Linked DNA regions of Canis lupus familiaris. The protein of the gene in region 1 interacts with the protein of each later gene in a biochemical or structural test. Links are inferred from orthologs where the notes say so. Each region holds a gene or a part of one and is shown on either strand. Other genes may lie near its edges.

What was found.
Region 2: the proteins of MAPK8 (region 1) and DUSP10 form a complex in vitro, tested with the Homo sapiens proteins (2 studies listed by BioGRID, with this or other methods). The link is inferred for Canis lupus familiaris from reciprocal best matches to the Homo sapiens genes MAPK8 and DUSP10.
Region 3: of the proteins of MAPK8 (region 1) and NR4A1, one has a biochemical effect on the other in vitro, tested with the Homo sapiens proteins (2 studies listed by BioGRID). The link is inferred for Canis lupus familiaris from reciprocal best matches to the Homo sapiens genes MAPK8 and NR4A1.
Region 4: the proteins of MAPK8 (region 1) and MAPK8IP3 form a complex in vitro, tested with the Homo sapiens proteins (3 studies listed by BioGRID, with this or other methods). The link is inferred for Canis lupus familiaris from reciprocal best matches to the Homo sapiens genes MAPK8 and MAPK8IP3.
Region 5: the proteins of MAPK8 (region 1) and H2AX form a complex in vitro, tested with the Homo sapiens proteins (2 studies listed by BioGRID, with this or other methods). The link is inferred for Canis lupus familiaris from reciprocal best matches to the Homo sapiens genes MAPK8 and H2AX.
Region 6: of the proteins of MAPK8 (region 1) and STAT3, one has a biochemical effect on the other in vitro, tested with the Homo sapiens proteins (2 studies listed by BioGRID). The link is inferred for Canis lupus familiaris from reciprocal best matches to the Homo sapiens genes MAPK8 and STAT3.
Region 7: of the proteins of MAPK8 (region 1) and ELK1, one has a biochemical effect on the other in vitro, tested with the Homo sapiens proteins (3 studies listed by BioGRID). The link is inferred for Canis lupus familiaris from reciprocal best matches to the Homo sapiens genes MAPK8 and ELK1.

What each region holds. Positions count from the first base shown.
Region 1 is NC_049249.1:431,453-435,565, forward strand, and holds the start of MAPK8 (mitogen-activated protein kinase 8), read left to right. Parts: upstream 1-1,313; 5' UTR 1,314-1,462; intron 1,463-2,068; exon of another isoform or gene 2,069-2,142; intron 2,143-2,614; exon of another isoform or gene 2,615-2,764; intron 2,765-4,113. UniProt on the Homo sapiens protein: Serine/threonine-protein kinase involved in various processes such as cell proliferation, differentiation, migration, transformation and programmed cell death.
Region 2 is NC_049259.1:16,925,301-16,929,437, forward strand, and holds the start of DUSP10 (dual specificity protein phosphatase 10), read right to left. Parts: upstream 2,801-4,137; 5' UTR 2,642-2,800; intron 405-2,641; 5' UTR 365-404; coding exon 1-364. UniProt on the Homo sapiens protein: Protein phosphatase involved in the inactivation of MAP kinases. Has a specificity for the MAPK11/MAPK12/MAPK13/MAPK14 subfamily. It preferably dephosphorylates p38.
Region 3 is NC_049248.1:43,697,335-43,701,514, forward strand, and holds the start of NR4A1 (nuclear receptor subfamily 4 group A member 1), read left to right. Parts: upstream 1-1,380; 5' UTR 1,381-1,444; intron 1,445-4,180. UniProt on the Homo sapiens protein: Orphan nuclear receptor. Binds the NGFI-B response element (NBRE) 5'-AAAGGTCA-3'. Binds 9-cis-retinoic acid outside of its ligand-binding (NR LBD) domain.
Region 4 is NC_049227.1:39,591,761-39,595,260, reverse strand, and holds part of MAPK8IP3 (C-Jun-amino-terminal kinase-interacting protein 3), read left to right. Parts: intron 1-271; coding exon 272-374; intron 375-570; coding exon 571-689; intron 690-3,500.
Region 5 is NC_049226.1:14,790,354-14,792,990, forward strand, and holds H2AX (histone H2AX), read left to right. Parts: upstream 1-1,445; 5' UTR 1,446-1,548; coding exon 1,549-1,980; 3' UTR 1,981-2,137; downstream 2,138-2,637. Other genes in the region: DPAGT1 (UDP-N-acetylglucosamine--dolichyl-phosphate N-acetylglucosaminephosphotransferase), read left to right, coding at 1-111, 194-259. UniProt on the Homo sapiens protein: Variant histone H2A which replaces conventional H2A in a subset of nucleosomes. Nucleosomes wrap and compact DNA into chromatin, limiting DNA accessibility to the cellular machineries which require DNA as a template.
Region 6 is NC_049230.1:20,455,442-20,458,941, reverse strand, and holds part of STAT3 (signal transducer and activator of transcription 3), read right to left. Parts: intron 2,740-3,500; exon of another isoform or gene 2,718-2,739; 5' UTR 2,717-2,717; coding exon 2,589-2,716; intron 1,168-2,588; coding exon 1,023-1,167; intron 65-1,022; coding exon 1-64. UniProt on the Homo sapiens protein: Signal transducer and transcription activator that mediates cellular responses to interleukins, KITLG/SCF, LEP and other growth factors. Once activated, recruits coactivators, such as NCOA1 or MED1, to the promoter region of the target gene.
Region 7 is NC_049260.1:41,470,256-41,474,389, reverse strand, and holds the start of ELK1 (ETS domain-containing protein Elk-1), read left to right. Parts: upstream 1-1,334; 5' UTR 1,335-1,484; intron 1,485-4,134. Other genes in the region: protein UXT, read left to right, coding at 54-107. UniProt on the Homo sapiens protein: Transcription factor that binds to purine-rich DNA sequences. Forms a ternary complex with SRF and the ETS and SRF motifs of the serum response element (SRE) on the promoter region of immediate early genes such as FOS and IER2.

The DNA.
Region 1 (4,113 bases):
CAGTGATCATTTTGCATTTGTTTACCATTATTAATTCCATATTATGTTGATTACATATGTAAGTTCCATTGTATTGCCAGTGCTAGCACAGTGCCAGGTACAGAATGGGCATGTGATAATTGTTTATTGTAGAAATAAAGGAAGAAAGGAAAAAAGGCTGAGAGAGCAAGGAAACGGGGAGAGAATGTACAAATGATTGTTCACATTTATATTTCATTTCAGAATCACTGGAAACAGGCCAACTCAACAGGACAAGGGAAGATAGTATTCCTGGATTCAGTCATTTACTCAACAATATTCATGTGTTCATTATTAAAGTAATGTAATTTTCTTTTTTTTTTAATTTTTATTTATTTATGATAGTCACAGAGAGAGAGAGGGAGGCAGAGACATAGGCAGAGGGAGAAGCAGGCTCCATGCACCGGGAGCCCGATGTGGGATTCGATCCCGGGTCTCCAGGATCGCGCCCTGGGCCAAAGGCAGGCGCCAAACCGCTGCGCCACCCAGGGATCCCCTAATCTGGCAAATTTCTTTTCAGGTTTTTTCCATGTATGCATAATACATAGGTAGGATCATTATATAGAGACCTGCTTCTTTGTTTTCATGATACATCGTGAACATTTTCCTGTATTGTTAAGAATTCCTTGAACACCTGGCATTTAAATTGCTAAGCTACATTCTATTGGATGGATGGATGTAATTTAGACGCCCTTCCACCCATTGTTGGATATTTAACGGCTTGCCAATTCGTCACTCCTGCAACTAACGAATACACGCTTTGCGGGAGCTCAGAGATAAATAAGGTGATGAATTAAATCTAGCACGAGCTGGATTTGGGGAAAACAGGAGGCAGCTTCTTCCAGGTGGCTGAAAGGAACAATCACTCGCCGTAGGTGACGAGGCCCTGAAAGGAACGTGCTGTCGGTCAAGGTAAGCCCCGTTCTGTGTCTCGGGTGTGTGCCCGGCCCAGGGCCTGCTCCCGGGCGCCCGGCCTCAGGGCAGGCACCTCGCCTCCGGCTCCCACTAGGGGACGCCCCGGGCCGGGAGCCGCACGTGCCGCGCGCAGGGCCCCGCCCCCACCGGCCCCGGACACGCCCCTCGCGCCCGGTCCCGGCGCGCCCCCCGCAGCTCCGCCTCCAGGCGACCTCCGCGCGGCCTCCCGCTCCCGGAGGGGCCCCGCCCCCGCCCCGCCCCCGCATCCGGGCCCCGGGGCCGCCCCGCCCCGCCCGCCCCGCCCCGCCCCGCCCCGCGGGCCGCCTGCGAGGCGCGGGGGCGGGCCCGGCGCGATGACGTGGGCGGGCGTGCGCGGTGACGGCCCGCGTTCCTGTTACTCAGCGGAGCGGCCGGGGCCGGACGACGGGGCCGGGTGCGCGGAGCCGCCCTGGGTAACGGCCGTGGCGACCGCCCGGACGGCGCCAGTCCCGCGGGCGGGCTTCCCAGTCGCCGTGCGCTGCGTTGCGGGGTGAGTGCGGCGGCTGCCGCGGGGCCCGGGCGCCGGCGGCCCCGCCGTGTTTATGTTATTGTGCCGCCGCCGCCGCCGCCGCCGCCGCCGCCGCCGCCTTCTCCGCGGCCGGGACCCCCTCCCGGGAGTGGGGGCGGGAGCGCGGCGGCTCGGGGCGCGCGGCGGGCGGGCGGGGGCGGGGCGGGGCGGGGGCGGCGCGGGAACAATGGCGGGCGCGGAGGCGGGGCGGCCGGGGGCGTGGGGCTGCCGGACCCCGGCCCGCGCGCCCGCCCCGCCCCACAGCCCCGCGCGCTGCCCTCGCGGATGCCGCGTCCGCGTCGGGAGGGAACGTGGGGCGGGCGCTGGGCGGCGGGTCCTGAGGCGATTCGGGGAAGGTCGGGCGGAGGCGCCTGACTCGCTCCCGCGGCCGCCGAGTCCCGACGCCCGCCCTCGCGCACGGGCTCTCTTTGTGCCGAGGCTGCGGGCGGAGGCGCCGTCAGCCCTGGGCTGCGGGGTCCGCGGGGCCGGGCCGGGGTCGGCGTGCGCGAGCGCGGCCTCCCCTCGGGGGTCGCCGGTGCGGACCTTCCGGCCCTCCCCGCCCCCTCCCCTTTGTCTTGCACTCGTGTTCCCAAGGCTCAGACGGTGGAGCCGAGTCGGTCGTAGAGGATCGCGACGAACGCCTGCCGCGCGGGTGTCTGAGGGTGCGTAGCCGCGGGCCGACTACGGGCATCGGGGTTGCGGGGTCACTGTTTCTACCTCTGAGATTCAGGAGCCGCCTCGGTAGGATTCCGGCCTGTCAGGCCGTTGTGCTTTGGGATGAGCATCCGGCAGGTATCTGGGCCGGTGGAACATGTGTTTATTTCATTCATTCATTGAGCAGCTGTTCAGCACTGTACTCAGAGTTTGAAGCGAAGAGAAATACTTTTTTGATGGAGGAGGATGCTTTGAAATGTAATGGATGTCTTTTTAAATGAGTTATGTAAGCAGTGTGCGTTAAAGGTGTCGTTATACTCTGGGTCATTTATTTTTTTGGTTTTGGGTTTTTTTTCTTTTTTCTTTTAGTACAGTTAGGAGGTTGATCTAAACGTACAATGGCTTTCTTTATTTACAAATTTAACTTTTCAGTTTTAACAGCCTTACAGTCTTAAAAGTCATTTGTAATGTTTATCTCAGATTTCCCTGCTGTGGGTTAAACCTAGGAGATCACATGCTGTAAGGGAACATGCTCAGTGCTGTGCCTGACAAAAGCAAGCAATCAAAATGGGATTTCCTTGAGGACAGGCCTGTCTTTCATCTGTGTCTCCAGCCCTAGCCTGGAATATAGTAAGTGTTCAATAAGAGCTTGATGAAAAACTCTTCACGGTTAATACTATTTAAAATCCAGTCTTTACAGTTCTTTACAGTTCTCTGCAAACTCACTTTCAGTGGGCTAAGTGATTCGTTCATTTGTACTATCTGTCACCGCATCAGGGGCTTTTGAATATTTTAGTTTTTTTTTTCCTAGCACTTCTAATTCATTATCCTAAAATAAAATATTGTCTAAAATGCTTTTGTTGTTTTTGTCTTTTTTTTTTCTTAGTATGTGTATCACACACAGACATAGTGATATTACAGCAGGGGTCTAAAATGATTGAATTTGTCCTTTTTTGAACATTGCTTGAAAAGTTTCTGATGACGCCTGTAAGGGGAAAAGCTAGAGTATGGGAAATAAGCTACATGAAAGTTTTATTTGAAATGTTTAATTTCTAATTGCATTTGTAGAAATGTTTAATTTAAAATTCTACCTTGGTGAAGCATTTGGGCCTAACTGAATTTAAGATTTTACTATTGGAGAAGCATATGGGCCTGAAACTCCAAATAATACTGATTTATTCAAGTTACATCGTTTTTCCACTCACAGTTTAATAAATTTTAGCATGTTTTGGATATGAGAGAATTTGAAATGAGCTTATAGTATTGCCTGATGCAGAGAACAAATTAAAAGGAAATACTTCATTAAGATAAGGAATGAAAATCATGAGATACCAAACTTTTATTGATTTGTCTAGTTACAGTATGTCAGATTTCAGAAAGTGTTACTGATACAATCCTTTGGTGGTAGCTCACTGTAAGGCTACATGTCAATCCAGTTTTTTGTGTTTTTGAAATTCTTTTGGTTTTTAAAAATAACAATTTTATTGAGATACAAATGACATACCATAAAATTCACCCGTTTAGAGTGTGCATCAGTATGGGTTTTAAATATATTCAGAGTTCTGCGTTGATTGCTACTATGCAATTCCAGTACATTTTCATCACCCCAAGAAAAACTACGTACCCATTAGCAGTTACTCCCCTTTCCACTCTAAATTATGTTTATTTTATTTTATTTTTTAAAGATTTTATTTATTTATTCATGAGAGACACAGAGAGAGGGGCAGAGACACAGGCAGAGGGAGGAGAAGCAGGCTCCATGCAGGGAGCCCGATGTGGGACTTGGTCCCCGGACTCCGGGATCAGGCCCTGAGCTGAAGGCAGACGCTCAACTGCTGAGCCACACAGGCGTCCCCTAAGTTATGTTTAAAAAGAGATATCACTGATTCTTTTGGTGAGTATATTCCATTAATGAATTTGAAATGGGCTGTCTTTAAGTGTCCTGACAGAGTAGGAAACTATATTCTTATTATACTCCT
Region 2 (4,137 bases), on another chromosome or scaffold:
CAGTGTTGTTGACCATCTGGTTGGCAGGGCAGGTGGCAGAGGTTCCGAGGGCGGTGGTGGCGGTGCCAGCGGCGATGGCTTGGGTTTGGGCCTGATTGTCCTTGTCGTAGGTTGCCACAGTACAGCAGCTGGCAGTGCTGCATCCACAATTCAGGGCGCGGGCAGAGCCGCTGGATGAGGGCATATACGTCAGATTCGCAGCCTTGAGGGATACGACGGTGGTCGCAATGACGGGAGGGGGGCTGTCACTGCCCGGGGTGGCCGAGCCAAGGTAGCTAGAGTCTAAACAAAGGTTGAGATCCTGAGGTCGGACGGGCCTAGACAGTGCCACTACTACCCTGTCGTCTAAAGGAGACGGAGGCATGAGGAGGCTGAAAACTGGCAACTGAAGAACTCAAGACAGTCTGTAAAGAAGGGGAGGGGGAAAGAAAGAATAAAGTCATGTGACACACAAGGCAGTCTGATCCAAACCCTAGGAAAGGCCTTTGCATCCCTCTGAGTGAAGTTGTCCTAAGGGCCCTTTATCAAGCCGCTCTCCAAGCCCGAAACTCATTTTTTTTTTTTTTTTTTTTACAGATTCCAAGAGGATGTCAACCCGAGGGCCCCCCTCCTCTTTGGTCACTAAGTCCAAGGTTACACGTACAGCCCACACAGTTGATGAACCACCTTCTCACGGACGTACTACGTGGAAGCTCAGCCTTGGAGAAAGGACAAGCACAAAGAATGGGAAAAGCCGAAGACAGAAAAGAAGGCTCCTAAGAGGCATCTATTCTGGGCCTCACCTCCTGGGCAGAAGCATAGTGCAACCGTCTGAGCAAGACCCACTTGTCCACCCGTGCATACTTTCCGTTTAATTCCTTCACTCACTGCAAAGGCAAAGGAATGACCAAGAGCGCTGGCCCGGCTCACCAAAATATACAGCAGCTAAATATACATCAGGGGCGGATGGCAACTTTCTGCAAATCAGAATGAGAGTATCCCCCTAAGTGAATCTCTTGAACGGGGAGCTATTCTTGCTTTGCATTCCTTTGAAAAGCACGACAGAGTCATATGAAAACCTCCCGTGTTTCCTGTTAGTCTCTTATAAATTAATTCTGCATTTCCCCTTTTGTTACAAACGAAATGTCCTGAAACAAAGCCTCAGGCTAAGGAGCCAGGCTGGTAACCCCCAACCCTGGCAGACCCATCGCCCTTTGCTGCCCACCTCATCCCCCCCCCCCCCCAAACACACACAAACACATACACACACTCCTGCCTTTAAGGAAAGGACCACATCGACTCTGCTACCTCCTTCGTTTCCCTGCTGACAGAGGCCGGGCATCCCAGAGGGATGGGAGGCAGCCCCGTGGATAAGATCTCAATCCCCCACAGATAGACCCCCGCCCCTCCAAGAGGATGAATTCCGTAGAAAGGACTTCCCAATGAGCCGGTCCCTGTTAAAGGGGGCAGTGAAGTGTTGCCCACAGGGTCCACCTCCTGCCTCAGGAGAGGGAGCCTGCAAAGGACCAGTTCCCTCCTTCCATAGGCACAGGGGCACTCTACCACCCGACCCTACCAGCTCCTTTTCTATTAGACACGCACCGAGAAAAGAAACCAAACCCCATGCAAGAGCCGCTCGTCTAAAGGAACTTTAAGAGATGTCTGGAAAAATGTCATCTATCATCCGTCTACACACGACCGTCACCATTCTCTGACACCGAGCCAAAGTGTCACAGGCAGAGTCCACACGCGGGCGCGCACACACACACACGCAGACACACAGAGACACGCACCCGACTTGTTCCCAGATCCCCACCGACTCAGGTTTCTCTCCTCCACTTTTGGATGGGAGAGAAGGGTTCATCCCTGGCCCTCCGGCCCTCCCACTCTCCCTCCCTCCTTTGCGTAGTATTTTTTTTTTTTTTTTTTTTTGAAGAGCAAGTACTATTCCAGAAGCTAGAACTGTTTCCCAGCTGGACCAAGCGGTGAAAGTCTCTGCTATTGTGTTACCAGGTAGGGTATGTCCCAGGATCAACAGCCCATTTCCTTGGTGAGGGACGCATAAGCGTGTTCATGGAGACACAGGCTGGGACCCCCACCTCTACGCGGAGTGCGCGGCTCACACACACACACACACACACACACACACACACACACACACACACACGCCGGAGTGTAGAAAGAGATCTGCATCCCTGCAGCAGAGGGTCGGGCGTCTATATTGCCCATGAAAGCATCCAGACCGGCCCAGGAAACCTCCCAGAGAAACACTAAGCTGCCCCCTCTCCCTTGCTGGCCGTCCTTCCACCTCTTAGGCAGGGGCTGGAAAGAAAATTAAGTCGTTAGAGAATGCTACTTCCCCACTCCTGGGCGCTCATCCCCCTTCGCAACACAGCGCACTAACAAGCCCCTGGCATTTAAAACTGCCGCAAAGCATCCCAACAAACCTCATTTTCTTTCTTCTCCCCAAATCCAAGTCGACTGCGGAGAGAGTCAACGCACAGGGCAGCGTGAGCCAACAGCAGGAACCCTATACCCTCACCTGCTGCGGCTCCCCCGTGAGCATCGCATCACACACACACACACACTCACACTCACACTCACACTCACACCGCCTTACACTCCCAGGCTCTCCAGAGGAGCCGCGCTGACTTCCACTTACTTCATAAATAAGTGTAGCCCTCCACCATCTGGCGCTCCGCTTCAGCTAAGGATTCGCCCATTCAGCCCCCATTCACTTGGCTTCATTGATCTCCAGCAGCAACATAGTTACTTTCTCTTTTGCTACACTGTAAATGTAAGGTTCTGAGGGGGCGGGCCGGCTGCCGAGCGACGGCACGTCGGGCCAATAGGAAGCCGGAGAAAGCCGACCGCTACCTCGCCGCGGCCCGCGGCCAATGGGCAGCGGGCGGGGCGGGGCCGGGGGCGGGGCCTCGTCTCTTTAAGGAGGGCTTATCCGACGCCGCTCCGGGTCCTCGGTGTTAGAACGCGGGCGGTGATGTCATTGGCAACCAATCAAAAACTTAAAAGGGCCAGCCGGGGCCCGCGCGGAGCAGCTGCTCTCTATTTACATGTAAACCGAACCGGCTGGATGCAGTTAACCCTTTCCGGGGCCGAAGTGTCAATGGGCCGGATCGCTGCTCCGGCTCAAACCGGCTGGGTCCCTGGGCCCGGAGCCCCCCGCGTGCCCCTGCCCCGGGGGTGCGGATCGCGTCTTCTCTTTCCCTCCTACTCGGGACCAAGGATCGGAAGAGTCGGAGTAACTTTCCGAGGGCGGGCCCCGCGAGCAGTCTCCGTCCCCGGCGGGGAGCCGGCTCGCCCAGGCGCTCCAGGTGCTTCGACAGACCCTAACCCGAGATCCGCGGCCGTCGCCGGGCAGCCTGCGGCGGGAGCGGCGGGAGCGGCGGGAGCGGCGGGAGCGGCGGGAGCGGCGGGAGCGGCGGGAGCGCGCAGCCCGGGAGCCGCTCCTGCACCGGGGCCCCGCGAGCGCCCACCACGCGCTGGGGGCGCCGGGGGCCGGGAAGCCGGGCCCGCCCAGCCGCGCTGCTCCCCGCGTCCTCCGCCCGCAGATGTCGCTGCCCCTCCGGGTGCCACCCCGCGCGGCAGCGGCGCGCTCCGGCCCGCCTGCAGCTGCGCGCGGTCACGCCCCCGCCGACCCCGCCGGCCTCCCGGGGCTCGGCCCGCCGCCCGGAGGGCTGCTCAGAGGCGGCGGCCTGGGGCCCGGCCAGAAGCTGCAGGGAGCGCGCGCAGTAGCCGGGCGGTCGCGGGGCTCGCCGTGCGCGCAGGGTCCCCGCCCCCCAGCGCGGCCCCGGGGCGAACGCAGGCCCGCGGGCCCCGCGCTCCTGGGACACCGCCGCGGGCGGAGAAGCAGCCGGAGCGGAGGGTAAACCACCCGCCCAGGTCGACGGGGCGGCGCCGCCGCTCTGGGTTTTCCAGACTTTTTTTTCCCGAGGAAGAGCCTGGGGGTGGGGCGGGGGTGGGGGCGAGGCAGGCTGGCTTGCGCCTGGAAAATCTCAGAGAAACTGCGGGAAAGTTGTCTTGGGGTACGCAGAGGGGTGGAGATGCTACCTGCGGGGAGCCTGCATCAAAGGACCCTAAAGAAATAAGAGCTTTTTCCTCTTCCCTCGCCTGCAGGCGCAAAGGAGTTTGATAAGGACA
Region 3 (4,180 bases), on another chromosome or scaffold:
CAGCAGGAGAGGCTGGAAACTAGGGTGTGGGAAACCCAACCCGAGAGGTGAGAGTGGAAGTGAGGAGGAACAGGAAGTGCCTCAAGGCTAGGGGGAAGTGCTGTCGGGTGGCCAGATGAGGTGAGAGTAGGGCCATCAGCGCAGGCGCAGTGGAAGCAGGAACTCTTCGAGCTGACTTGCGGGGAGAAGGGGACCGGGTGGGACCCCAGTGTTTGGGGGGGGTGTCTCTTCTTGTAAACGTTAGCACTCCTATCCCTCTCTCTCTTACTTAGCAGGTGCAGGCTCCCCAGGTTCAGGGGTGGAATGGGGGTGTCGAGGTGACAACCAGACCAGGGAGGCCTCCAGGTGGCTGCAGTGCGGCCTGTGCCCGATCCATCGATGCAGCCCTGGCCATCCCTTCTGGCTTCACGGGGCAGGTCGAGGCTACCCTCTCCACAGGTGGTCAGGGGAGGGCGTGAGAAGATCCCCTAGAGATGCAGTGAGAGGCCCTGGGGGGGGGGGGCAGCGTGTGCCACCACCTCGCCGTGTGACCTTGAGCAAGTGCCATCATTTCCGAGCTTGTTTATTTATAAAATGGGGAAAAAGAGTCGGCACAAATTTGACCAGATTTCTCAGGCCCCGCCCGGTTCTGAAATTCGGTCATTTCCCAGCTGCAGCGCACCCACCCTGGAAGGGACTGGGAAGCGATCAGGGCCAGCGCGTGGAGCGGGGCCCACCGGCCAACGCCTGCCCTCGGAAGGTGCCCTGCGTGGGAGAGTAGGGGGCGGAGGCAAGCGGGGGGAGGGGGGCTCGAGGCTCAGACGACCCGGTGACCCTGCTGCTGGGGAGTAAGTGGCCGCGCTGCGCCGCGGGCTGGAGGGGCGCAGGCTGCGGGGGGGGGCGGGGTGCGCCCCGAGGTGCGCCCCAGGCCTCCGGGGAGGCTGCGCGGCTGCGAAGGCGGAGCAGCGGGCGCTGCAGGGAGCTCAGCCCGGGGAAGCCCCGCGGCCGCGGCTCTAGAGCGCCCCCTCCTCGGGGTGGCGCGGCCCGGGGCGCGCGGGGCGGGGGGAGCCTCGGGAGTCCGCGAGCTGCTATTTTTAGCGGGCGCGGCGGGCGCGCGGGGACTATTTATAGATCAAACAATCCGCGCTCCCTGCGTCAATGGAACCCCGCGTGCGTCACGCGCGCAGACATTCCAGCCTCTCGCCCCGCCCCCCGGGCTCCCCGGCCCGCGCCTCCCCCCGCCGCCTCCCGCCGGAACCGCGCCGCCCCCCGCGCCCTTGTATGGCCACAGCTCGCCGGGCCGCGTGCGTCAGTGGCGCCCCCGCCCCTCGCCGTGCGTCACGGAGCGCTTAAGAGGAGGGTCGGGCTGCGCCGGGGAGCCCCAGCGGCACAGGCTGCGGAGCCCGGAGCGCGCGGCCGGGAGCGCACACGCGGGACGGACGGGCGGGCGGAGCGGAGCCGCCGGGTAGGTGCCCCGCGGGGAGCGTGCGCCCCAGCCCCGGCTTTCGGGGTGTTGCATGGGGGAGACGGCCGTCCGCGCGGGCAGAAAGGATGTTGTGGGGTCGGCGTGCAGGGGCGCGGGCGCTGGGTGCAGCCCGGGCGTCGGGGGGAGCGCTTGCAGCGGGGGCACGACCCGGGCCGCACTCCAGCCCCCGGGCGCCCGAGAGGTGCAAGGTGGAAGCCAGGTGGAAGCCGCGGGGGGGGGGTGGGGTGGAGTTGGAGTTGGCACCGGGAGTGGGGACTTGCTGGGGACGAGGCTGCCTGTGGTTCAGCGCCCCCCCCCCCACTTGGGTGCCCGAGTGGCCCAGGGCGCCCCGGACCGAGGTGCTGATGGGCTCTCGGTACAGTGGGGCGGGGTGTGTGTGTGTGTGTATGGGGGGGAAGATCCCCAGAACTTGAGTTGCAAGGATCCGCGGGACTCCTGCCAGCTCTGGGTTTCCAAAAGGGTCTCCTTCCTCCCCGGCTGGTCGGCCTCCTCCCCCACCCCTCGTTCCTTTAGTTGTTTTCTTAACACGTTAGAGGCTGTGGCTTAGTTTGCAGGGATCCCCGAAGTTGGTGCCTGAGCGGTGTTAGGAGACTTCTGGATTGCTGGAGGAAGTGGCCAGCATGGGGGGCTTGGCTGAGCTGTGGAGGGGGGCTGCTGGTGTTCCACTCAGTCTTCTTAGAGGCAGGGTCTGGGAAGCACCGGGAAGATTGGTTAAGAGGTGTCTTGGATCCTGTGGGGCGTGGGGGCGGGTGCGGACAGAGGAGAGAGAGAGAGAGGTGTGGAAATCTTGGTCCTTGGGGATCCCGAGTGAGAATTGCTCATGTTGGAGTCCCTGGTGTAGTACCTGAAGGACACCCCCCACAGCCCCACAGCCCGGTCACACCCGTGCCCCCCTCCCCCCAGTCCCCGTTGGATCCTACAGGTAGGGTGCAGCCCGCAGCTTGTTCAGCATAACAGGTGCAAACCACATTGTTGCCAGGACCTGCCTGAAGCCGGATCCTCCCTGTTCCCTCCTCCAGCCCCGCCTCTTCCTCCTCCCTGGGGGACTGCTTCTCCCCCACCCCCTTGACGCTGGATGCAGGTCCATATCTGCTGTAGTTAAGTACCTGCGCCGAGGGGGGTGGAGGGGGAGGACAGGTTGGTGGGGGTTGATCCGGATGTGGGATGTCCAAGTGGAGAAACAGGATTTGAATAAGGCTGGAACACCCAGCCTTATTCCAGGTGGCTGCTACCTCTTCTCCACCCCAAACCCATCCCTGCCCCGGCTGTCCTAGCGCTGGAAGACGTGGCCACTCTTATCTCTTGCAGGTGCCGCGTATGCCTGCGGGCGGGCGGGTGGGCACTACCGGGTGGCTGGTGCAGAGCTTGAGGGGCTGTGTGGCCCCCGGCCGGTTGTGGCAGTGTCAGGCCAGGGGTGCGTCGCCCGTGGAGGTGGGAGAGGGCTGGACCCAGAGGACGTTCCCCCCCTCGCCCCCCCCCTCCCCGGGCTCTTGGCCAGGAGGTGGTGCCAGCCTTTGCCCCCTCTCTCTGTTCCCTTGATCGTGGCACTCTGTGTTCCAGCTTGCTTTCTTGCCCCGCCCCCCCCCCCCCCCCCCCCCCCCCCCCGGCCCTGGCTGGGAGGGCCAGAGCCGTGCAGACCCCAGGGGTGGACATGGGATGGGAACCCGTCCCGGGGCCGCCTCTGCGCTAGTTTGCCACGGGTCTGCAAACTTGAGGATCTCCTTCTAAGTGGTGCTGTCTCTGCCCCTTCAGGCCGCTCATGATTGAGGGTGTAACCAACCCTCTTTGCCTGAGCGCCTGGGTTATTCAGGGCCCAGAAACTCCTTCGTGGAGGGACCCAGGCGGGGGCAGGATGGCTTCCATCTGCCCACCTCCCGCCAACAGGCTCCTCCCTGTATGGCCACCTCGAGTCTGCTGGACTCAGAGTTCTCTTATAAAACTAACAAGAGGCAATGCTTTGGGGGTAGCAGAGAAATTCTTCTTAGGGACTGTCCATTCTCCTGGAAGTCTAGGGGGCCTGTTCTCTCCTCCTTCCTGCCCCTATTCGGCTTCCCTCCGGTGTACAGCCTTTAAAGGTCTGGAGCCCGGCTACTTGATCCCCTGGGGAACTGGGGATTGCTGAGGAGGGCCAGGGCTCCCTTCCTTTTTGCCTTTGGGAGCATCCCAGGCGGTGCCGAGTGGGTGCCCATCCCCAGATGGCAGGACTGGGGTGCGCGTGGGAGCTGCAGCCTTTGTTCAGTGTGTCGGGTGGGGGCAGGGATGGGGGACAGGCTCGGGGCTGCTTAGGCCTCTTGCTTAGCAGCTGGGCCTTCAGTCTCGACTCCTCTTCCATTTTCAGGATGTCCTTCCCAGGCACCGTGGGGGGAGGAGGAGAGGGGGCTTTGCAAAGGCTGGGCTGTGCCTGGGAATATTCCCAGAAGTGCCAGGTTGGAGAAATGACATACCTTCACCCAGAGAGTGGGCTAAGTAAGGCTTTGCCTGGCTGCCTCTCCCACCCACCCTTCTTCCAGCCCCTGCCCACGCCTTACCCGGTGCGGGAGGGCAGGGGGCTGAAGGAACACAGCTTCCCCCTGTTCCAGCAGAGAAATGCTGGCTAGATGCCTTCCCTAGGGTTCCCAGGCTGACCGGGGTGTGGCTGGCCTTCCAGCTGAGCCCACTCCTGCTGGGCCACTGCCCGGGGGCTTTGTGACATGAGGGTTGAGATGGCACTCCGGC
Region 4 (3,500 bases), on another chromosome or scaffold:
TGGATTTGGGGGACACACTGGCCTCTGGCAGTGCACTCCTGACATGCTCAGTAGAGGAAGGGGAGGAGGAGAAGCGGGACATTGGGTGTGCTCATCGGAGGTCTTGAAAAAGAGACATGGTTCTGGGGCATGGGTCCTAGCCAGGCACCACCCAGGGAAGAGCCCTTTCCTGACAGTTCCTGGCTGGTGGTGATCTAGTGTGGGGTTTCCAGACGTGGGGCCAGAGGGTTGATGCCCCCCCAACCCTGGGGTTCCTGTGTGTCCCCCCCAGGCATGGGCAGCAGTGATGAGTGGTCTGATGTTCAAGACATTATCGATTCCACCCCAGAGCTGGACATGAGTCGGGAACCCCGCCTTGATCGCACGGGCAACAGGTACTCCCTGAACCTGGGGTCCTGGAGGGCTCTGTGTTCACTGTGGGCATCGGCGCCTTTGGTGGAGGTGTCCCTTGCAGCCTCTTGCACAGCAGCATTGGCACTGAGTGGCCCAGTGGGCAGTGTTGGAGGGCCCCTGCCCACAGCCCACGAATGTTGCCCACTCACCCTGTGCTTCCCGGGTGTTTCCTCACAGCCCGACCCAGGGGATCGTGAACAAGGCTTTTGGCATCAACACTGACTCCCTGTACCACGAGCTGTCAACCGCAGGGTCAGAAGTCATTGGGGACGTGGATGAAGGAGCTGACCTGCTAGGTAAACTCAAGCCACCCCCGTGACCCTAGGGCCTCAGGTTGCTGTTGTTGGTTTTGTTGGTAATGAAAGCAAAGTCTCTGTCAGCTGTGAGCCAGGAACTTCTTTTTATAGTTTTATCGAAATGTAGTTCACATATCATAAAACTTAAACTACTTAAAGTTCAGCGGGTTTCAGGGTGCTCACAGAGCTGTGTCACTTTCTAATTTTAGAACATTCTATCACTCTGAAAATAAAACTGTGCCTTTGAGCACTCAGTCTAGGCAGTGCACTTTCTAGCAATTTCCTCAAAGAATATGCTTATATGAGGTCACTGCCTATTTTCGAGCCCACGGTTGCCCCCAGAACTCCCTGCACCTGGATTGGAAAGAGTGCAGAGGGACGCCTGGGTGGCTCAGTGGTTGAGCATCTGCCTTCAGCTCAGGTCGAGATCCCGGTCCTGGGATGGAGTCCCACATCAGGGTCCCCGCAGGAGCCTGCTTCTCCCTCTGCCTGTGTCTCTGCCTCTCTCTGTGTCTCTCATGAATATATAAATAAATCGTAAAAAAGGAAATGGGTACAGAGACAGTCCCTAGTAGACTTACTTCGGGTCCTCCTTCCCGTCCTGGGATGGGTGTCAGGCGTGCCCATCAGGCAGGGCTCCAAGGCAAGCTGTGGCCCTCAGCACTGCAGGCAGGAAATTGGATGTGCTCGGTGGTGTTCACCTTCCCCCCACCACATGCCCTGTGCCCTTGTGTCTGGAGCCTGAACTTTGAGAAGCCCGCCTGTAGGACAGGAGCTCCAGGACCTTAGAGCTGCACTTAATCCTTTCCTGCTAGCTAGGTAGGCTCCAGGGCAGGAGGTGGGCTCCAGGGCAGGAGGTGGGCTCCTGGGGACAAGGTGGCTCCAGGGGACAAGGTGGCTCCAGGGGACAAGGTGGGCTCTGGGGCGGGAGGTAGCCTCCAGGGCAGGGGAGGCGGGGTCGGGGGCAGGAGTTGGGATCTGAGGGAGCAGTGGTTCCACTTAGTCCTCTCTGGACACCAGCTTCCATGGAGGTGACTCCTAGGGAAGGGTGCTCCCCACTTCTCACGGCTTAGGGGGGAGCAGCAGCTGGAGCCGGGGCTGCTGCCTCCTCAGGGGAGGTGCTGGTCCCATATGGGAATCAGGCTGCTTCAGCTGCTGTGATCCATATGCAGTCGCCTGCTGCCTGAGGAGGAGGAGCTACATCGCATCAAAGAGTTTTTACTGCCAACCCTCCTGCTGTTGTCCCTCTCCACTGATTAACACTGGTGACCTTTTGCCCTCAGGGACTTGAGGGCACTTGCTTGGCTACTCTGTGTGGATGGCACCGTCTTGGGTGGCTCGGCCAGGCTTCCAGCGGCAGATGTGGCCGGGCTTGAGGCCATGAGGGAAGGGCGCCACTGGCGTGTTCCACCACGTGTACTCTCTCTTTGCTTTGGGGCTGTTGTTGGATTAGATTGCTTTAACTGGGGTGCGGGTACCTCCCGGGAACCGATTCCTTGTGGCATCCGCACCAGCATCACCTTGTGCCTAAAATGGAAGTCTTTTCAGCCAGTCTTTTCAGAAGGTAAAATTTACCTTCTCGCTGATGTTTGAGCGTATAGTTCAGTGTTACAAAGGATGTTCGTACTCGGTGGTGAGACCAGGAGCAAGAACAGGAGGCCCAGCAGTGGGTGTTTCTAATGGGATTTTTCTCATAAGTGTTGTAGAAACATATATTTAAAAAGAAAAACTATTAATATTCAGAAACAATTTACTTAGAGGAAATTACTTTTAACATTCTGACATCCTTCTACTCTATGTAGTTCAGATGATCCTGTATACGTTCTGATTTTCATTTTCGGAAGAGTAATACATGCTTAAATACTATTCAAATAATATGAGAAACTGCCAAGAACAGGGTAAACACCAAATGCCCACCTCCCCCTACCGCCGTCATGAGTGTTTTAATACGTTGCCACACCTTCTCTGGCACTGTAGCACACACATGTGCGTGTCAGGTCATGTCTCCCTCCCCAGCGGGAATGTGAACGTTTCCCTGGCCCACTGATACTCCTCCACACATCAGATTACTTCACAGGACTGCAAATTATTCAACTCTCTTGGTTCTGCATTTTGCTGTTTGGACATTGCCGTCACACATGCTGTGGGCAGACGTCTGCACCCACACCTGTGACAACTTTAGGACCGATTCCTAGAGTGGGAGCCTCAAGGTAAAAGTGGGCTCCTGAGAGCATCTGCATGCTGTTCTCCCAGATGAGGCTGCGCTGGGGCTAGCACCCACAGCCACAGGGGCCTGGCCCGGCTGCCCTTCAGGCGTTGGGCCCGCTGGGCTGGGAGGGGCATGGGAAGGAACGCCCATCAGTAGGGTTCACTGGCTGGGACGAGGCTGTAGGGGTAGCCGTGCACGTTGTGTGTGTCCATGAAGGCGCACTTTTCTGCCTGGGCCCACCTCGGAGGCTGCACGTGCAGAGGACACCACCCAGCAGGCCACCGTGCATCTCGGGTGTTTGAGGATTTGATAAGAGACAACAGCCGTCTCCTTAGGAAAACACACAGGCACGCCGCAGCTTGCATTTCTGTGCCAGCATCGCTGGCAGGGGCAGGAAATGGAATGTAGGGCCGGGGCAGAGTAGGAGCCCACCGGACCTTGTACTATGGCCCCTCACGTCTCACGGCAACATGGTCACGGGAAGTGTCTTGCCAGCGTTGGACATGCATGGCCGCCGTTCATCCCGGGGAATGCTGCTGCCCCCATTTCATGGATGAAGAAACGAGGTCAGGGAGGGTGAGGTGAAGACACAGAGTCAGGAC
Region 5 (2,637 bases), on another chromosome or scaffold:
GAGGATGGTGCCTTCACGGAGTGTAACAACATGACGCTCCTCAACTTGCTCCTTAAGGTTCTCGGGCCCATGCATGAGAGAAACCTGACTCTGCTCCTGCTGCTGCTCCAGGTGTGGTCAGGGAAGGGCTTTGCTGGCTCTGGTCTCCCTTTCTCCATGGCTCTGACTCTGGTGTGTTTCTTTCTCCTCACAGATCCTTGGCAGTGCTGTCACCTTCTCCATCCGGTACCAGCTTGTCCGGCTCTTCTACGATGTCTGAGTCCCCCAATCCTTGCCCTTCACTGCATAGTCTGCAGGGTTCCTGACTCAGGCCTGCCTCTTTCTGGGCCAGGCAAGCTTCCGGGCCCAGGCCTCTCTCACCTCTTACTTTTCTCCAGATTTTGTACTTAGCGATTCCGTTCCGCTGTGATCGACATCCTGGGCCTGTCTTGCCCTGTACTGACTGTTGATTGGACTTTGCCTGTGGCTTTCTTCAACTTGCTGCTCTCCCTCTCTATCCCATCCCTGCGGCCTCCCAAAGTGGGATACTGTGCTTTTTATGCAGTTATCCACCACTCGGACTCTCGAGGAATATGTTGGGCCTGGGGATAGAACCCTGGCTGGGGAGAGGGACACAGGCTCGAAGATCACTTGATTATTTGACCATAAATTAAGTATTCTGATTCGTAAGAGCAGATTGGGGGGCCAGGTGCTCCCAGTGGTGACAATAAAGTGTTGTCTTTTTCTTGGTGTTCCTGTAAGTATATTTTGGGCATTTTAGGGTAGATCGGGAGGATTGGTGGAGGTACCTCCTCCAAGAGGATGCCTATCCCTCTGCCCATCTTTTTTCTTTCAGCACAGTGGGCTCCTTGTAACAAGAAGTCAACAGAAAGAACAGACCAAATAGAACATGTTGAATAAGCCCTGAAATCCTCATACTTCAGGTGGCAGGGAGAGCCCTAAGATTGGACTTGCCTGTTCTCTGGTGCCGAACAGAAGTTTTTAGGGGGAGCAGCGGGAGGGGTTCCCATTTCTTCCCTCTCTCATTTCCCTCTGCAGGATGGGAGGAGGGAGAAAGGAGAGAAGAATGACCAGACCAGGAAGGGAAGGGAGTGGTGTCGACCCCGTTCCTTTAAAAATCCCGGGCCCGCACCGGTTTCCCAGAGGCCCTCGAGGTGGCCCAGACTCCACCCTCTTTGCCTTCCGGTTCTGGGCTCCAGCTGTAGCGTTTAAATCTGGCGCCCTTCGCAAGGATTGGCTACATCGGGGAGGGGTTGGCCGGCTGCGTGCTACCACTCCTCCTCGCCTTTTTCCCCGGGCAAAAGGTTTTCAAATCGGACCAATCGGCGGGCGCGCTGCCTCGGCCGTGGCGCGTCACTGAAGGGTTAACTGCAACCAACCGGAGGCGGGTACCCGAGGAGAGAGCCAATCAGGAGGGCGCGGAGGTGTGCCCTGGGGGCTTATAAGGCCGGCCCCTGGGCGCGCGCGGCAGCAGTTGGACTGCGGCGGGCGGCTGTTCGTTGCCCCCTTCGAGGCGTCCCTCTTCACAGCTCTTCTACCTCGCGCAGCATGTCGGGCCGCGGCAAGACCGGCGGCAAGGCCCGCGCCAAGGCCAAGTCGCGCTCGTCGCGCGCCGGCCTCCAGTTCCCCGTGGGCCGCGTGCACCGGCTGCTGCGGAAGGGCCACTACGCCGAGCGGGTGGGCGCCGGCGCGCCGGTGTACCTGGCGGCCGTGCTCGAGTACCTGACGGCCGAGATCCTGGAGCTGGCGGGCAACGCGGCCCGCGACAACAAGAAGACGCGCATCATCCCCCGCCACCTGCAGCTGGCCATCCGCAACGACGAGGAGCTCAACAAGCTGCTGGGCGGCGTGACGATCGCGCAGGGAGGCGTCCTGCCCAACATCCAGGCCGTGCTGCTGCCCAAGAAGACCAGCGCCACCGTGGGGCCGAAGGCGCCTGCGGGCGGCAAGAAGGCCACGCAGGCCTCTCAGGAGTACTGAGGGGCGCCCGCGCCGCAGCCGGCCCCCATGCCACCACAAAGGCCCTTTTAAGGGCCACCACCGCCCTCACGGAAAGAGCTGAGCCACGTCGGGCTCGGGGCGGGCGGCCGCGGCGCTCGGCTCCCCCCCGCCGCGTCGTCACCGCCGCCGCCGCCGCCCGGCCCGCCCCTCCCCCGCGCGGGCTCGCCTGCCCTCGCTCCCGCCGCCTCCCGGCCGGAGGGCCGCCCGCTCGCCCGGCGCAGGGGCCCGGAGGGGGCCGGGGGCGCGCCGCTGCCCGCCGCGGCGCCAGTGACTCAGCCGCCCGGGCCGCGCTGAGGGCCGCGGGGAGGGCCGCGGGGAGGCCGCGGCGCCGCCTGGAAGAGCCGCTCGGCGCGCTGACGCAGGGCTGAGGTACGCGCCGGGGCCGGGCCGGGCCGGGACTCTCCGGACGCCGCGGTGCGGGGACGACCCGTCACTGTCCGCCCTGCCGCCCCCTCGGCTCGGGCCGAACGCGTCCGCGGGGACCTGCCACCAGGGGGGGAGGGGCGGTGCGCCCCGCGGGCCCCGGGACTGCAGGAGGCGCGCGCCCGCGAACCCCGCCGCCCGGCCCGCTCTCTCCGGCGACCGCTCCGCGGGCCTCGCACCTCCGTACCAGCACCGGCCCGACCGTCCCCATCT
Region 6 (3,500 bases), on another chromosome or scaffold:
ACTCTTCCCACAAGCACCGGGCCACAATTCGGGCAATCTCCATTGGCTTCTCCAGATATCTGCTCTATAAGTAAGAGAGAGAAAATGATGGGATCCCTGGGTGGTGCAGCGGTTTGGCGCCTGCCTTTGGCCCAGGGCGCGATCCTGGAGACCCGGGATCGAATCCCACATCGGGCTCCTGGTGCATGGAGCCTGCTTCTCCCTCTGCCTGTGTCTCTGCCTCTCTCTCTCTCTCTCTCTCTGTGACTATCATAAATAAATAAAAATTAAAAAAAATTAAAAAAAAAAAGAGAGAGAGAGAAAACGAAAAGTAGCAGTAGACTAAGAAGATGTGGACCCAAAAGATTACATCTACTACATGAAACAATAAAACAAGGGCCTCAGAACCTGGCTGCCACTGGTGGGAGATGAAGGAAAAACAGAAAAAAGACCGTCACAATGAGATGTACTGTGACAAAAGGTACATTAGTCTGAGTCTTTGGACAATATGCTATCGTGGTCTTACATGGAGGTGACAGACCTTGTCCGTGGGTGTCCAATTATGGTCAAACATTTAACATTGAAAAATAAGTCATCTGGGGCGTTTGGGTGGCTCAGTTAGTTTGGCATCTGACTCTTGACTTTGAGTCAGGTCATGATCTCAAGATCATGGGATTGAGCCCCGCACTGGGCTCTGCTGGGCATGGAGCCTGGTGAAGATTCTCTCTGCCCACATCCCCCCACTAAAAAAAAAAAAAAATTAGGTCATCTTCCTATGAAACCACTAGTTCTGATCTTGTTATTAACATGCTAATGTAATACGATTACCATTAACAATTATGCGATGACGTCAACGGACAAAAGAATTGGATTTCAGATAATGATGCTCAAGGGAGGGTACACAGAGGTTTGAGAAAGGGCTAATAATTTCTCCTTTGACTTAAAGTACAAGATAGAATCTCATTACCCAGGCTAATGAGAAGAGAAATACTTCCTGGACAGAAGCTAACATCCTACTCTGCAGGGTCAGTTTCTTATCACACCTGAAGGAACTGCTTGATTCTTCGCAGATTGTGCTGATAGAGAACATTTGACTCCTGTAGGAAACGGCTGTACTGCTGGTCAATCTCACCCAAGAGATTATGAAACACCAAAGTAGCATGTGATTCTTTGCTGGCTGCATATGCCCTGGGAAAAAAAAGAAGGATACAGAATGATTCTGAAACCTACATACACTCGCATGCACACACATGCGCACACATGCATGCACAGAAATCACCATTAAGGAGCGAAGAAAACAAGACAAACCTGATGCTTTAACTCACTCATCACTTTAGATTCACCTTGCTCAGCAACAAGATATGTCATGAATTTAATGATTATTAACAATTATAATCAGATACTACAAGCCACTGTCATAGTCTATACTTAAAAGATATTAGTATAAGATTAATATCTTATATACTCATAAGATATAAGAGCAAAGTGAACAGATATGCTAGTTTGCTTTCTCAGCTCCACAGCCAGATTATTAGTAACTAATAAGCAATCCCAGGCTGGGGTGGCCCATCTCCATCATCTCTGACTCACCTCCCTGGGCCCTCACCAAATTCTAGAAAAAACTAGGTCATAGGCCTGAATTAAATGAAAATTAATATATGGATCTGAACATATCAAAATGAAAAAAAAAAAAAAGGGACACCTAGGTGGCTCAGTCTGTTAAGCATCTGACTCTTGGTTTTGGCTCAGGTCATGACCTCAGGGTTGTGAGATGAAGCCCCATGTGACTTCTGCACTGGGCATGGAGCCTGCTTAAAATTAAGATTCTCGGGGCACTTGGGTGGCTCAATTGGTTGAGCATCTGCCTTCAGCTCAGGTCATGATCTGAGGGCCTAGGATCGAGCCCCACATCAGGCTCCCTGTTCAGCAACGAGCCTGCTTCTCCCTCTTCCCTACCCCTGTTCTCCTGCTATCTCTATCACAAATAAATAAATAAAATCTTTAAAACAAACAAATAAATAAATAAATAAATAAATAAATAAATAAATAAATATAAAAATAAGATTCTTTCTCTCCCTCTGCCCTTTCCTGGAGCTCTCTCTCTCTCTCAAAAAAAAAAAAAAAAAAAAAAAAAAAAAAAAAAAAGGAAATAGTTGTTGGAATTCTGAGCCATTATCTTCTCTATGAATGAGTTTATTTCTCTTACTCTGTGTCTCATTCCTTTAATTAAAGGGTAATCAGAATTATGGTCCCAATTTCCACACATGAGAGAACTCTCACTGAAGCAAAAAATATTTGTAGTGCATCCCTGGAGTGTCAGAACACACAGAGGACCTCGGCAAGGAAATGAGATTCAAATCAGCCTTCAAAACAGCTACCCCAGGCAGGCTGCTTCGAGGTGCCAAGAGACAGTTGCCCACACACACTTCTAATGGATAAAACGCTTTTGCAAGACTGAGAGTACCTCTTTATCTCCTGATCTCTTTCATCCCATCACCTGTACCCATCAGTTTTTTTATGAAATAGGACAGAGTTAAGCTAGAATAGGTTATGTTTCCTGACTCAAATCAAAACTTGACACTTTGGGGAATTTCTCAGGAAGGACTTACCAATCTTGACTCTCAATCCACGGGGCCAGAAACTGCCGTAGCTCCATTGGGAAGCTGTCGCTGTACAGCTGATGAAGCTGCTCTAAGTACCGTGTGTCGAGTTGCTGTAGCTGATTCCATTGGGCCATCCTGTGGAAATCAGGGGTCCCAACTGTAAACCAAAATGTTCATATGGTCACTGCAAGCACTAGTGTGAGTAAACAATCTAGAAACACCCCATCTACCCAACACAGGCATCAGGTCTGTGATTAGGGATACAAGATGCTTTGGACAGTATCCTATATGTTTCTCCCAGTTTACAGCAACATAGACACATTGATAGTCTCTACCTCTGGAAGCACACTACAGTTTCTCCTACACTGGGATGTCAATGGGAGCATGGCATCTGCCAAGTTCCAGAATCCATTAGCTACCAGAGGTACGTGAAGTTGAAAAATACCTTAACTTCCAGATTTCCACTTCCTCATCTATAAAACAGAGATCATCATTCCCACCTCTCATGGCTGTTGAGATAATATTTTTAAATATCTCGGCTCAGTATGTGCCATGCAACAGATGCTCAACAGATGTCAGCTCCTTTCTTTCTACCCTATCCCCCTTTTTAAGAGGGTTAACTGGAAGATATAGTCAACAAACATACGCTAAACCCAATATGTCGGATGTAGCTGTTCGGCAAAGACACAGAGCTAACTCTAAGAATATAGGTTTAAAAGTATAAGCAAAGACCTTCCTGGGATTCTCTCATTCAATGAAAAGCATTTTGTTTTTAAAAGTTCTCAGTTAAGGGATCCCTGGGTGGCGCAGCAGTTTGGCGCCTGCCTTTGGCCCGGGGCACGATCCTGGAGACCCGGGATCAAATCCCACATCTGGCTCCTGGTGCATGGAGCCTGCTTCTCCCTCTGCCTGTGTCTC
Region 7 (4,134 bases), on another chromosome or scaffold:
CTGGGCTGAGGCCTAGACAATCTCTGTTCAATCTCTTCTATCCTTTTTTTCAGGGGCTTAGAGAACTACAAGGCCTGCAGAATTTCCCGGAGACACCTCACTATTGACTTCTTCCCGCCTCCGTAGACATTAAAGAGCCTGAATGCCTTTGAGTCACATGGCCCTTCTTTCCCCACCTCAACCCTTTGCTGTTTGCTAAGGTGCCCTGTTTCTAAAGCACAAAGTTACCAGGAACCCCAGAGAGCCAGTCTCTATGTGGAACCTTTAAAGCACCCCTGAAGTCCCGCCTCCAGCCTGTTGCCTGGCAGCATTTGCCACTTGACTTTCTGCACTGCCCTCTTTTCTGTCGCCTTGGAAACCTGGGCCTCCCACCTGACCCTTTTATCTTCCTGGACGTAACTGTCTTAATCATAGAGAATGGGCTGATTCAGGGTGGAGGTTTGTTCCCAAGACAATCAGCCTTTCATTCCTGGCCCTAAAGTTTGCCCCTCTCCCCCACCCTAATCATTACTGGGGTACCTTAGATTACACCCACGCCCGTCTCATTCCAACCTTGGCCTCACCCGGCTTCTAACTAATTTCAGCTTCCACCAATGGGCGCAGAGCCTGATCCCGCCCTACCCCGGCCGGCCCCTATTTTAGGTTGAGTCTAGCTTCCGCCAATCATTGCAGAGCCAGGTTCCGCCCCCTTATAACTGGCTGAGGCTCAACGCTGACCTCCTCGTAGGCTTTAGTTTCCGCCACTCAACGCTCCTTTGCGTGCCTGGCCGCTGTCCAACCCTATCTCTGCTCTGTCCTAAACTCGTCTTTTCTACCCAATCACGATAGAGTTATCCTCCCACCTACGCACAGTCCTGGCCCGACCCCCTCCCAGCCTGCCGCTACGCCCACTTCCATATAAGTCCCGCTTCCGCTGAGCAGCGTGGAGTGCAGCACCGCCCAGTTGGTGTTTTGGCAGCTGTCTGGAGTCCCTAGTCCGCCAATCAGTAGAAAGCAGAGTCCATCCGCCCCTATCCTCGGAGGCCGTCTTCCATGCAGGCCAATTATTATCAGGCAGGCGCCCCCAGAATCTTGTCAATCGCCCACAGGCTGTCAGCCTTGGGCCAATCAGCGTGAAGCGCCAGCGGGGCCCAGCACGCCCCCTCGGAACCCAGGCGGCTATCTGCGTTCCATCAGTTCTCCTCGGGCCAATCATGGCCTAGCTCTGCGGGGCAGGGCCCGCCTCCCCAACCCTGGAAGCCGCGCGGTCGAGCCAAGGCGCTGTGTCCAATCAACCAGCCGCGGAATGCTCGGCTCCTCCTCCAGGGGCCCACGTGAGCCGTGAGGAAACGCAGGGGCGGCTTCTAGGTGCCGCCGCCGCCGCCGCCGCCACCGCCGCCACCGCCGCCACCGCCACCTCGGAGCCCGGGCCTGGGGGGCGGTGGGGCTGCGCATGGAGCCCCCGCCCCCCGGAGCTGCCAATACTGCCACTGCGCTACACACAGGTGAGCCCGGGGCCTGGAGGGTGGAGGGCCCGTCCGTGACCCCACGTATCCTTCCCGCCCCCGCGCGAGGGATGTGGCTTGGCCCATGGCCTGCTGGTGTTCAACTGCCCACCGCCACCGCCACGGCTGGTGGACCTGCCTGTGGTATTGTCCCCTCCCTTCGCCCCTTGTAGTCGATCTGACCGTGGCCTGACCCCCCTTCCTGTTTTATAATGGATCGGTCTGCGTGCTTATAGTTCTCCCCACCCCACCTTACAGTGGACTCGTCCGTGGTCCTGCCCCGCCCCCACCCCCACTTAGAGGGGAGCAGCCTCGGGCATTGTCCCTCCTTGACAGAAGGTGCATCTGACTGTTTATTTTCTCCTGTCCTCAACTTTCAAGGGCCCCGTCTGTGGCCTTGTAGTTCTGTTCCTTGTAGTGAATCAGTCCATGGCGTGTTGCACCCCCCCCGCACCCCCTTTAACAGTGAGTTAATCTGTGAAGTTGTATTCCTGCCTCCTCCAGTCCCCCAGTGCATCAGTCCCATGGTTTTATCTTTTACAGTGTATCGGTCTGAATGCTAGTATCCACATCCCTTGTCGTTATCAGCCCATTGCCCTAGCCTCTTTTTTTTTTTTTTTTTTCAGACTGTTTCTCCAGCCCTTGGGCTTCTCTCTTCCTTTTAATAGTGGGTCAGTTTCGTGTTTTTGAACTCCCCATTTTCAGTAGCTCATTCCATGGCCTTGTTCCCTTCTCCTTTTAATGAGTCCGTGTGATGGCATTTCACCCCATCTACTCTTGTGCAGAGTAGATGCCTTTCTGCTCCCCTTGCCCCCCATAAAGAAGATGAGCCTTTGCACTCCCCTCCACCCCCGCCTTTGCAGTGGATCTGTTCATTGGCCTTCTTGTTCCCCATGTGCTTGCATCCAGGCACACACCCCCATACCCTCCCCTGAGTCCAGTGCTTTGTAATCTCTTCTCCAGGAGGGTGCTTTTATTTTGTCCCTCCTTTCCTTGTGGTGGATCAGTCCATGGCCTTCCCTGCTTCCTCTCTTCTTAATGGTGGATCATCCTGTGTGCTTGTTGAACCTGGCTCTTTTTTACTCTAGAACACATCCCCCTCGTACACATCATTAATCCCTAAGACATTCTGCCTCACTGCAATAAACGGATGCATTCAAGATAGCGATAATGCCATTAGGAGCTAACGTTTATTGAGCACCTACTAGGTACCTGGCAAAGTGCTTTATATCCATGACCTCATTTCGTCCTCACCACAATCCTGTGAGACAGGTACTCAGGAAAGTTCGGCACAAGGGGCTCAATACGTTATTCAGAGGTAAGTACCCAGTTAGGTTGCCCCTCAGAACACAGAATAATTTTTGAGGATCCCCTTTCTCACTTCATCCCATGCCACATGAGACCCCACTCCTTAAAAAACAAAGCACCTCCCGTCTCCAAGCTTTTGTTTTTGCTAGTTTCCCCCCCGCCTGCAGAGCTGTCTCCATTCCACACTTTTTCTCAGCACCCATCCACCCGCAATCGCAGCAGCCATATGATCTGAGTGATTTAACCACTTTCTCTCCGCACCTGCTTCCTCATTTGTAAAATGGAGGCATCAAAACCAGAATCCCCTCCAGTGTGAACATATCTGAGAGTTAATAAGACAAGTAACCTCTCTGGCTGCACCTCCTGCACCTTGTCCCTCCGACTCTGTTCCAGCCATACAAAGCTCCTCACTCATCCTCAAATCAAACACGCCAGATACAGCCCAGCCTGAGGGCCTGTGCATTGGCTATATTTTCTACCTGGAATAACGTCGTTCCCCTGATCTGTATGTGAGTCCTTTCAGAGCTCTATTCAAATGTCAGCCTGCCCCTGATCATCTGAACCTACATACTTAACAGGACTCAGGTTCCTTCTCTGCAGTAGTGGTCCCCTTTGCCCTTCATCACTATCAGACACACTGTGTAGTTTACCAGTTCACTGTCCCTCCCCATTAGAACAGTCAGTCCAATGAGGGTTTAGTTTTTTTGTCTGCTTATTTACTGCTGGGTAAATATACTTAGTATATACTAGGTGCTCAATAAGAATTTGTTGCATGCATGAAGGTGAAAAATATTATTTCAGACAAATCAGGGTGCAAGGGGAGGGAAGGGTTGGAGATGAAGAGGGTATACGAAAACTAGCTAAAGAAACTAGTTGGGACTGTTCGTTCAGCAAACACTTAGCACCTACTGAGTACCAGGCACTCTTCTAGGTGCTGGGGATATGGGAAGGAACAGAACAGGCAGAAATTCCTGCCCTTGTGGAGCAGACGTTTGCTAAAAGTGGGGGAGACGGACTATATAAATAAAACAGTAAGTAAAATTAGATAGTATGTTAGGCGCTAAGGAGGAAAGTGAAGTCGGGAAGACAGGGAGAGAGTACGGGAGTGATTGAAATCTTGGGCACTGGGCAGGCCTCACTTAGAAGGTGACCCTTGAGTTAAGGCCTGAAGGAGATCAGGGAGGAAGACAAAATATCTAGGGGAAGAGTGTTCTGGAGGTGGAAGGAACAGCCAGTGCAAAGGCCCTGAGGTGGGACTGTGCCTAGTGCATTCAAGAAACGTGAAGGAGGCCAGTGTGGCTGGAGCAGAGCAGAGGGCGGGAGGGAGGCAGGCAGGCAGGCA